Arabidopsis thaliana: one gene and its partner. The protein of the gene in region 2 interacts with the protein of the main gene of each other region in a pairwise test. Each region holds a gene or a part of one and is shown on either strand. Other genes may lie near its edges.

What was found. Proteins that work in one complex are often made in the same cells at the same time.
Region 1: the proteins of AT2G18740 (region 2) and AT5G57860 interact in a two-hybrid assay, tested with the Arabidopsis thaliana proteins (one large-scale study listed by BioGRID).

What each region holds. Positions count from the first base shown.
Region 1 is NC_003076.8:23,435,336-23,439,903, forward strand, and holds AT5G57860 (Ubiquitin-like superfamily protein), read left to right. Parts: upstream 1-2,218; 5' UTR 2,219-2,394; intron 2,395-2,584; exon of another isoform or gene 2,585-2,620; 5' UTR 2,621-2,655; coding exon 2,656-2,658; intron 2,659-2,938; coding exon 2,939-3,124; coding exon of another isoform or gene 3,125-3,139; exon of another isoform or gene 3,140-3,270; coding exon 3,271-3,310; intron 3,311-3,693; coding exon 3,694-3,752; 3' UTR 3,753-4,068; downstream 4,069-4,568. Other genes in the region: ADCL (D-aminoacid aminotransferase-like PLP-dependent enzymes superfamily protein), read right to left, coding at 213-307, 412-1,088, 1,177-1,343, 1,580-1,626, 1,817-1,952; eIFiso4G1 (MIF4G domain-containing protein / MA3 domain-containing protein), read left to right, coding at 4,420-4,568.
Region 2 is NC_003071.7:8,120,337-8,126,658, reverse strand, and holds AT2G18740 (Small nuclear ribonucleoprotein family protein), read right to left. Parts: upstream 3,439-6,322; 5' UTR 3,326-3,438; coding exon 3,284-3,325; intron 3,184-3,283; coding exon 3,157-3,183; intron 3,058-3,156; coding exon 2,995-3,057; intron 2,274-2,994; coding exon 2,195-2,273; intron 2,108-2,194; coding exon 2,062-2,107; intron 1,959-2,061; coding exon 1,949-1,958; 3' UTR 1,581-1,948; downstream 1-1,580. Other genes in the region: AT2G18750 (Calmodulin-binding protein), read right to left, coding at 1-261, 342-400, 491-566, 717-832; DGK3 (diacylglycerol kinase 3), read right to left, coding at 4,970-5,128, 5,207-5,323, 5,404-5,491, 5,579-5,656, 5,762-5,832, 5,953-6,035, 6,123-6,198, 6,305-6,322.

The sequences.
Region 1 (4,568 bases), on a different chromosome or scaffold from region 2:
TAAGAGATGAAAAACAAGAAATTTGAGCACTAGACGCAACCACTCCATGAATTGTTGAGAATGGGTACAATCATAATTCAAAAGTGATAAAGAGAAATCTTTACAAAGACAGATACCTAAAAACCCCATGATAAACTCAACTTACAATAACAGCAAAGCTTTACAAAAAAGCCACAGCTTATTGTCTTTGATGAACAAAGAGAGTGATTGGCTCAGTAAGGAACAAGAACACGAACGGAAGGTGGACCAGATCTCATATCTTCAAGTAACAGATCAAGAAGCGCCTTTGCTATAGGACCTTCTTTTCCTGAGTCAGACAGAAAGAAACCCATCTTTAATCAGCCAATCTATCCATCATGTAAGTAATTAAAAGTGAGGCTTTTAAAATGTTTATATGATAATCTTACTTACCTTCACCAATAAATTCTTCATCCCATTGAATCACAGGTCTGATCGGAATTCCACTACCAATAAGCATCATCTCATCTGCTTTCTTTCCATCTTCGACTGTCACATCCATTACTTTCACAGTTTTAAGAATCCCCTTGCTTACAAGCTGTTCAGCGAGTGTAAGTGTTCTCTTTGCTGTACATCCGCTCAAAACGTTATCAAACCGCGGCATCACAAGCTCCTTACCACCATTAACAACAAACGCCACATTCATGTTCGGGCCTTCTGCAATAAACCCATCTTTACACACCCAAATACCTGCATAAGCTCCTTTGGCCTCAGCTTCCATTTGTGAGAGTACGTTAGGGAGGTAGTTAACACTTTTCACCGTGGCAAACTCTGGAGGCTTTATGGGGATGGACGAGGTCACTACCTTGACACCTATTGGGTTAATGGCGAAGTTCGTTTTTATAACAATGGCATAGAGAGTTGGTTTGAGACATTGAGATGGAGATAGGAGGAAATCCCCTGGCCCTGCAGAGAGCCAGTATCTTAGAGATCCATCTCTACATCCAGAAACGCTCACGGTTTGAATGAGAATTCTTTTAATAGTTTCTCGATCGAATGGAAGTGGGATCTTAGCCATTGATGCAGATCGCAAGATACGGTCAAGGTGCTGATCCAATTCATAAAGGTATCTGCTTATTCGTAGGACAACAAGCGAAGCTCAGATGATTGAGTAATAAGACAAATTAGAAAAGGGGGCTACTATTTAAAGTGACTAACCCATTGATGATCAGGGCAGTGTCAAAGACTCCATGACCACGGTGAACCATGTGATCATCCAATGGAAGAACCATCGCTGCTGGATCGGTTGTAATTCCATCAACAACACTTGAGTACATGGCCAAGAACTGTTGTCCTCCTCTTGCTAGTTTTAGCCTCTCACCAACCTTTTAAACCAAACATACTTCACTGATACTCAATCAATCAACGCCTCTAAACATAAACGGATAACAAACAAATGTCGCAATCCTTCATTACGGGCTGCATCTATAATTTCATTGACAAAACACAGAAATGTCTGGTGGTTGTGTCAATAAACATCTCTAGCTAACAAATTGTGAACAGTTTCAAGAGTTAAAGATATGATTGATAAGTACAGACATAAAAGAGAAACCATAATTACCTCATAGCTAGATAAAACAGGAACATTCCACGACTGAGAGCTTGAATCTGTGGAGAAACGAATGCAGATTTTTGTCATCAATTCCAGAACACTTATGGAATTTAACGATCAACAAATTGATCTCTTTTTTAGGGTAATAAGTGTACATTACCCTAAAAAGATTATAATAAATGCATCACCAATCACAATCCAGAAGAAAAATCAGAAAAGAGAGAACACAAGGTAGAAATGTCGAACCAGAACACATGAGAATCGTTCTTCTTCGTGTCAACCGACGCGGGAATCGAAAGCCATGTCTTAAAGGACATGGAACTTGAGAGAGAGACCTGAGATTCCAAGTGTTAACTGTAAACTCCAGCGACAAACCTGCCATGGGGTTTGGGACTCAAAAGAATAGAGAGAGAGAGATCATTCGGAAATAGCAACTTGCTTTGCATTATTATTATCTCAGTCGTGAACTGGAAGAAGACGAAAAAATATTTGGGCCTAACTTCACCACAAAAATAAAATAAAGTTATTCGGCCCATAAGCCCAATATGACTTTTCGCATTGTATTTTAATATTCAATCAATCAAAAATAAAAGCCTAAAACAAAACAAACCCTCTCTGTCTTTTAGTGGGTTTTGTACGACGCCTAATCGATGTTAGTATTATATCTGTAGCCAAACAAGCCACCAAAGTGGTATTTTTCTTCTTCCTTCCTTACCTTGTAGGGCTCTGAGCTCGAGTTATAAAAAAGCCAACTTTGATTTCTTTGCCAGTATTTCATCCTTAATCCATTCTTGTGGTCACTTTTTCGTCCTTAACCCATCTAGGTAAGTCGATTTCATTGTTTGTTATTTGAGTCAGTAATTTTTGAAAATCTTTGCTTTTTTTTCTTTTCTTTTGAATATCAAAAGAAGAAAAGATTTGGGGGATAACTAGATCATCTCTTTAGTTAAATTGACTCTTTGAGGTGTGTCAATTGTCACTGATAGTCTGATTAATCTTTTATTGGCATCTTAGAACAGATTTTGATTCTAAAGTCTTGTGAATCGGCAGCGGAAGAAGAGTGAATTGTTCATCCTTATCTTGCCATGGTAAACATTCTACTTCTTTTGTTCACTTTGATGGGTTTGATTGTTCTTAGTATATTCAATCCTTTGCTTATTTGACGGGAAGTAGAGATGTTTTTGGAATGAGAACATCTTTTCCCTTCTTAATTCCAGCTTCCTGATCACATTTATTACTGTTCTTCTTGGAGTAATAAAAGTTGAGATACTTTTGTCTTGCAATAATTTTGCTTTAATCAATCGAACAAGTTAGATTTTGGCCATATTGGTTGTAGTATTGATTAGTCTTGTGTAATATTGTTTGCAGGCTATGTATATTCGTGTGAAGCGCATGAAAACTACTTACTTTATCCAATGTGATCCAACAGAGACTGTTTTGGATGTTAAGCAAAAACTGTTTGCTCTCATTGAGCAACCAGTTAACAATCAGCGTCTGGTCTTAATGTCTACCGAAGAAGTATTAGAGGATTCGAAATCCTTAGCAGATCAGAAGGTATCACACGTTTGACTATCTAATATATTTATCTTTTGAGTCATTGCTCAAGTTTAAAAGAAGAACTTGGTCACATAGCCACTGCCTCCGTTTGCGTGTATTTGAAAGTTATAAGCTTGTCACCATCTTCTTTTTTGGTTGTTCAGGTTGAGAATGATGCAGTTGTGGCTTTGACTTTGAAGAAAGGTTATACCTTAGATCCTCTTATTCTGAAATTTTCAATTCCTTGTTGAAATGTCGTAATGGATCATGCATCTTGGTTAATTACTTATCACACTTCATCTTTCTATATGTTATTTGGTATATGAACCCTTCAAACTCCATTGACTTCAATTGAGCCTGTTATTGTGAATCTTAGTTATTTTGTTATCACTGGATAATCTTTTGGTATGTTTAAGAGTCTTGCCTAACTTTTGTGACCGTGATATAGCTGAATGTGATTCCTAATCTTATTATTCTTTTAGCCTTGTTTCGATTACACAACTGTTGAGGATGCTGTATTGCATTCTGAATCTATACAGCTATGAACGGCATAATGATTGCATTGCATCTCTTTTTTCCATGTGCAGATGATAACGAGTTTGAGGATGTCAACATTGCACAGCCCACCGACTTCTCACTTTCATGAAGAGTTGCTTACTGTATCAAGGAAACTTCAGGAGAAGGTATTGATTCAAAACACAAGGAGGAGTCTATAAACGCCAGAAGTTGTTTCTTTTGCGTCTCTGCTTGTGTTAACGCCTCTTTAGTTTGTTACAGACAATTGTTGTAAGTAAAGATATTGAGATGTGGAAGTTTGATTGCAACTTGCCAGATTAGTAGTTTTTACAGTCTCTTAATATGTTTACAATGAGCTAGAGGTGCAGCTAACACGAGCCGAGGAAGCTCCATTATTACCATTTGACATTGTTCATTGACGGAAAACCCAATGAGGGTGACAAAATAAAGAGACAAAAAAACAAAATGAAAGGACATAACTGTAATCTTAACGGAAAAAAACGTTAAGGCTATAAGTGTGTCTGGTTCGGGAAAAAGAGAGGAAAAAAACCCTAATAAAGAGAAGGGATTGTGTCTCCTTCTCGACTTCTTCTTCTTCTTCTCATTTCTCAATCTCAACTTTTCTCTTCTCTTCTCTTCTTCGCTAACGGCAGGAGAGAGAGAGACCCAGAAATCCGATCCCTCCTCTCCTTGGATTATCGGAGTCAGCGATTCATCGTCGCTGATAAAGCTTCTACCTTTCTCTTCGATTTTTGTTGTGAGATTCGATTCGATCTTAAGGCGGATTAGATCGAGGTATGCAGCAAGGCGATCAAACGGTTCTGAGCTTGAGACCTGGTGGCGGTCGAGGAAACAGACTATTTGGTTCCTCTTCTTCTTCTTCGTCTCTCTCTTTTGGCTCTCTTTCATCTTCGGATCTACCTCTCCTTCGTCCTCATGGTGGTGC
Region 2 (6,322 bases):
CCCTCAAACTCTTCTCCACTCCAACCATCATCATCTTCAGTGTTAAAATCACCATCAAGCACAACAACATCAAGCTTTGCAGAAGCTTCAGGTCCTACTGTCAAAACATGTCCAGTTGTCATATCCAACAGTACAACATGGATTGCAGCACCTTGCTCCCCTTCTATCTTCCCTCCAGTAAACAAAGGAACAGACAATCTAGACCTGAATTGTAGCTGCAAATTCCTTCCACCGATACCTTCAATTCGTTTTGGAGACGACCTGTGAACTCAAGCATTAGAAGAAAACCACAAATACTCCAACCATTAATTTTATCTCTTTTTAAAACAGTCATATGTTACCTTTCACTAAGTCTTGCAGGGCCAAGCTTTGCCAATGCCCGCTCCACCTCTTCACTTACCTGTTTGACAATGCTCACAAAACAAATCAGTAAGCCAAAGAAACAACACAAAGCACCAAAAGACATGTAAACAATTCTTATTAAGCTAACCACTCGGCGAAGAATCGGTTCCAAAGAAGAACAAAGCCTCTGTAAACTATCCATCTTCAAGGCTTCCACAATTACACTGCAATAACACATACACAACTTTCTCAAATCCACAGACAATCAATATACATAACAACCCTTTTTTCATTCATACAACTACAAATCAATTACAGATTCAACAACGCCATAATCAATAATCAGAAAAATTACAAGCATCAACACAAATTACCTTGCAAGAGCTGGCCTTTTACGCTCAGGCTGTTGCTGCTGCTGCTGATTATCATCTTCCTCCAATTTTCTCTTCTCTCTCATACTATTAGTCCTCTCCATATACCTCGTCTGCATTTTTTACGCTGCTAGAAGCTCTGATCTATAAGATCGAAGCAAGTAAAAAACTTCACCAACCCAGAGAAAGAATCACAAATCCAGCTCTCAAACTAAAAAAAAAATCAAAACTTTACCACAAACAAATCAAACCCAGAAGCTAAGCAAGATTTTATGAATTCTACTTAAAAGCTTCTTCAAACAAACGGAAAGAGAAACCTGAAAATTCGATTCGAAGGAGAGAGAAAAATACCTCAAAAATGGTGTTTTGGATAGAAGAAAAAGAGAGAGAGATAAAATGAAAAGATCAAAAATTAATTTACTTGAAACACTTGTCTAGTTTTGTGATTAGTCGAGTACTTTGACTAGTTTTAGTAATTAAAGATAGTTATCGGGTGCGGACAAGATCACAGTAGGCTTGGATTGCCGTCACTTTTGCTTTTCGTTTATTGGACGACATTCTTGGGCCGGCGGCTAGTGTATGTATTTTTGGCACATGCTATATTCTAAAGTTGATAATTAAATAATAATACTTTGTTGTATAAAGTCCAATTATTTGTTATTAAAAAAAGACTTTAATAGTAAAAATACATTCATTTCACCAATAGCAAGATTAGGGATAAGATTCAACAATCAACATGGATATAAAAACATCTAATTGCAATGAAAAGTTAATGTTCACATAGATTTCTGTATTTTTATGTTAACTTTAACAGATTATATTCTGATTGGTCTATTAGTATAATTAAACTTTCAATCTACTTGAGCCCTGAGAATGGCCAACTCGGTCAGTTCACCAAACAAACAAAAATGATACAATTTTTTTTATAATCAAAATCAATTGGTTTTACTTTTTTAAGGTTTGAAATTTAAACAGAGGTTAAAAAGTTGCAACAAAGATCAGCCAAATTACATAACACTAGATTTAACCAAAAGGGACCAAATCTCTTTTTTGAAGTTTTAACCAACCAATCCACTAGATTCGATCAAGCTCCTTTGTCACTCACTACATTGCAATATATTATACGACATTGAAGAAAAGAAGGTATCGTCAAGTACCAATTAAGCTGAGGAAGAACTCAACAGATATTTAACATAAGCTTGAAGGTCATCGAAGAGAGTTGTTTGAGACAGACATCACTTTCCCCTGTTAACATAGAAAGGATTTTGTTTCAATCTTTTGTTATGTGACAAATCAAGCTGCTATACATCATAAAGAGAGAAGACAGAGTAGAGATTGTGTTACTTACGTGTTCATCATCAGAGTTATGTTGTCTCCTTTGAGTAAAATCCTTCCTGAAAATAGGTATTAACACGAGTTATCAAACCATAAGCAGACAGATCTGAGACTTGTTATCAAAGAGTGAGTTCAGGATAACTCACCAAGTGGTTTCCTGGTGTTCTTCTTGATGCTCACTTCTTCAGCCTCATCCAAAACTAGATTCATGTATTCGTCAAAACCCTGCAAAGGACGACGGATAAGCAAGGTTTGATGGATTCTCCTAGAAGAATCAATAATACACCCAAATTCAAGTAGACAAAAATCTAAGTTTAAAACCGAGTAGAGTGACACTATCACAAATATCATGTTCCTCCATACATATAATCAACCTCAGAAAAGCTAGGATCTTAACTCGAGGAACAACAAAAGTCAAGTAGACTGCAACATGGAACAACAAAAGTCAAGTAGACAACTCAAACCTTTAAGCCAATGAGAATGACACCATCACAAAATCTCAAGTTTCTCCAAATTATCATAGAATCAAACTAAGAAAAGCTTGAATGCTTGAATCATAACTCGAAAATCATAGAGGACATACAACTACAAGCATAGCAACAAACTGAAACAAGTAACACCCAAAGCCAAGTAGGCTGTAGGAGACAATAAGTTTTAAGCCGAAGAGAATGACACAATCATACTCAACCTAAGAACAGCTAGCTAATCAAACTAGTTTCTATTGGCAGGCTCTTATCAGTTCTTTGTGCAGTAGTAGTAACAGTGACAACTATCCCTTTTCAATTCACAACAAATGCAACAGTTCAAACACAGACTAAATTAGAGAGATAGTCACACTGCTAATGCATTTCAAACTCTCCTAAAGTTAGCATAACCCTCGAATGTCCTATAAACAAAGCCAGGAATCTAATCAATTCATGATAACGGAGCTTCAACATCAACTTACAGTGATTCTTCCTTCAATCCTCAAATCTTTCTGCTCAAATAGCCAAATCTGGATCCTAGCTTTCTGCATCACAAACACAAAAGACCAGGGAACAAATCAGTAGACGAACTACTAATAACCTAAAACCTCAGAGAGCAAATCAGAAGAAATTGAACAACTTACACTTTGAAGAAACCTAAAAATCAAGTTCTGGAGCCGCCGCCACCGGAAAACAAAAAGCAAGATACAAAATTAGGTTTCGATAGAAACAATAAAGAGATGGAACAAAGGAATCGAAGAAGAAACGTACGATAGGTTGGGTCATAATCCTTTGAACTTTGGTGCTCGCCATGGCTAACGTAGTTGGAAATCTCTCTCAAGCTTTCGAAAATTCTCTCTCAGAGGAAATCTAAAACCCTAAAAAGCGTTTGTCCCTCTGCTAATACGCTTTTTTCAACATTTTTCTTAAACTTAGTTCTCTCGGTCCTCATAAAACTTCAGAATGTTATTTCAGCCCATAACTAATTAATGTGATCATTTGGCCCAAATACTCTTTTCCAAGACCTAGAATTTTTTAGCGTAGGTTTTTAACTTTTTTTTTTTTTTTTTCAGAGAAAGATTTATTTTTAATATACTGAGGCTCAGTGTTACAACATAAAAGGCTCAAGACAGTCTACATATGAGGTCCACAACAGACTTTTACGTCACAAAAAAGAGATAAGCTTAAGACGTGTCAGACCAATAATAATAAGCTAAGGACACGTGAATCTTCCACAACCTCCACCGGATGAGACTCAAGTCTGGTGAATCGGAGAACCATCGCCGGGAAAGCACCGAGCAATGAAACTCTTTTTTTCTATCACCGATTATGGCAATTAGATGTTATAGAACAAACATCAATTTCCTAATCTCATATGGTTGCTAGAATCACAAATAATTCATCAAAACGGGTAAAGAAATTAAAAAAATTGAGTAGTTCAAACTTGTCCAACCATTGAATCTTCGAACTCTCTTGCAAAAGCACTAAAGGCATATCAAATTTGCATAGGATAGAAGCTTTAACCCAATCTTAGGCGAAAATAAAATTGAAACTGTCTTAAATATGGTAGATCCAAACGAGGGTAATTGCTGGAAACGCACACATCGCCGAAAAACTACCAGAGCCAAAAGCATAACCCAATAGTGAAGCTAAACAAAACAGAAGGAGAATAGATCTTGTAAAGAGAAACCCTCTTCAGATCTGACGATTCTGCATGCCATAAAGCTTCATCATCAAACCTTTGAAGTAACAAAACAAAAACAAAGATGACCAACGCTGTTAGTGTAAGCCCAACGCTGCCGTACGGAAGCTGGCCAACGTCGCTAAGTTAGCCAACGATGCCATACAAAAAGCCAACCATCTCCACTAACGTAGCTAGAAGATGTCGGACGAAAGCCCGAATTAAACGGGACGGCGACTCACCGGAAAACTATCCGGTTAACAAAAACAAAAGAAATTTCAGTTTCTATCTTTACAAACTACGAGAGAGCGAAGAGAGAAAAACTTTTTTGTGTGGTTTATTAACTTAGGTTTTTAATTTTTTATTATTCTGGTAAAAATATACGACTAATAATGATAATTATTAAAAATATTCTTACTTAGAAATTGGTGTCGATGATAAATTGGTTCTCAGTCGAACTAGTGTTAAAATAAATAAAAATATGACAAAGAATCACATCTATGTGCTCAATGCTAGAATTACAAAGATTGAAGAGAGATTGAAATTTGACCAAATATTATCTTCCCACATTCTTATAAATAAACAAACTTCATTCCTCACAACACAAAAATGTACAAAACCAACAATAAGCAGAAATTAAAAAGAGAAAAATGGTCACAATCTCAGATTTAAAAGAAAAGAAGACTAAAAAGCTTAGGCTATATCTATGACTAACTGAATCAAATCCAAATACAAAACAATTAGCTTTGTACAAAGAATCCAGCTTTGAATCTCAATCATTCATTATTTATCATCAGAGATTGATAAGGAACCTTCTTGATCTCCACAAATGTTGAGTACTCAGTGCTCATTGGTTGCTTCCATGGCTCACCATCCATTTGCAAGAATGCGTCTCTCCAGTCACCTCCTCTTAGCTCAAATCTTACCGCAGCAGCCTGAAATGATCACCAAAATGAAACAGTCAAACACATGGCTAAAAAGATTATACATTGACCAGTGTCTTTTGAAGTTACCTGAGCTATGTGCTTGGCAGAGATGAGCTCAGCCATGACAAATGACGCGTGCCATCCTTGCTTAAAACCGAAAATCTCTATCAAACCATCATCACAATGTGCTTCCACAAAGCCTCTCTGAGAAAAACCAAAGAAAACATTCGGGTTAACATCAGAGAACTGAGTTCATATATGATGAAATGGAACAGAAACAATACCTTCTCTAGATAGTCCGGTTTTAGATTGCCCCAAGGATGGCTTCCACTTCCATAGCTGTGAAGATTCAATGCGACAATTGATCTCACACTACAAGAGAAATCCATAGCATCAGGTTTTAAGCATTGATATCAAAGATTGTAATACATAAATCATATATCGAAAACTGTTTTTTACTTTTTCGGGACTGCGATCTCTTCCCACTGAGAGCAGTTAACCTTTTTGATGTGAATTTTCATTATGTTCCTAAGTCCCCTGCAAATTCATATAGCACAAACAAGGGGTCAACAACACAACAAAGGGCTTAAGCAGAGACTTACACACAAGTTCAACTACACAATAAGAGTCGAAATGGCGAACCTTAAACCTGGATCGTTGACACAAGGCGTGCAAAACCAACCCTGACTGCAACCAAAACTTGAATATATAATCTGCAAAAGCAAACATTGTGTGGTTGGTAATGTCGTTTCTCAAAACCAACATAACTACTTTAGCTTTTAACAAAGACAAATAATGAGTCCAAAGTTTAGGTGCAAATATAATAAACAAACCTTATTTGAAATAGGGCCTTGAGCAAGATATGGTTTAGTGTTGCGAAGATGGTGGAAGCCATATGCAACTTGAGCATCCATACCTAAACAAACCAGACAAACACAAGAATCTGGTCAGAAAAACAATTGTGAAAATTGTTTAGGATATCAAAAAGAGAAGTTCAACAAACCTATGCTTAAGTAATTGTAGAAAACACCTTCATAAGCCTTTGCAAGTGGAGGCGCATCAATTCCCGCGTCCAAACCCTGAAACCACCATAAAGCCTGGTTAATTACTAAACCGTGGCAATTTACAAAATCACATGCTGATGATTCAATGAGAAGAAGCAAGCCTAATGAAATAGAGCAAAACCTGATCAAGTTCGTTTTC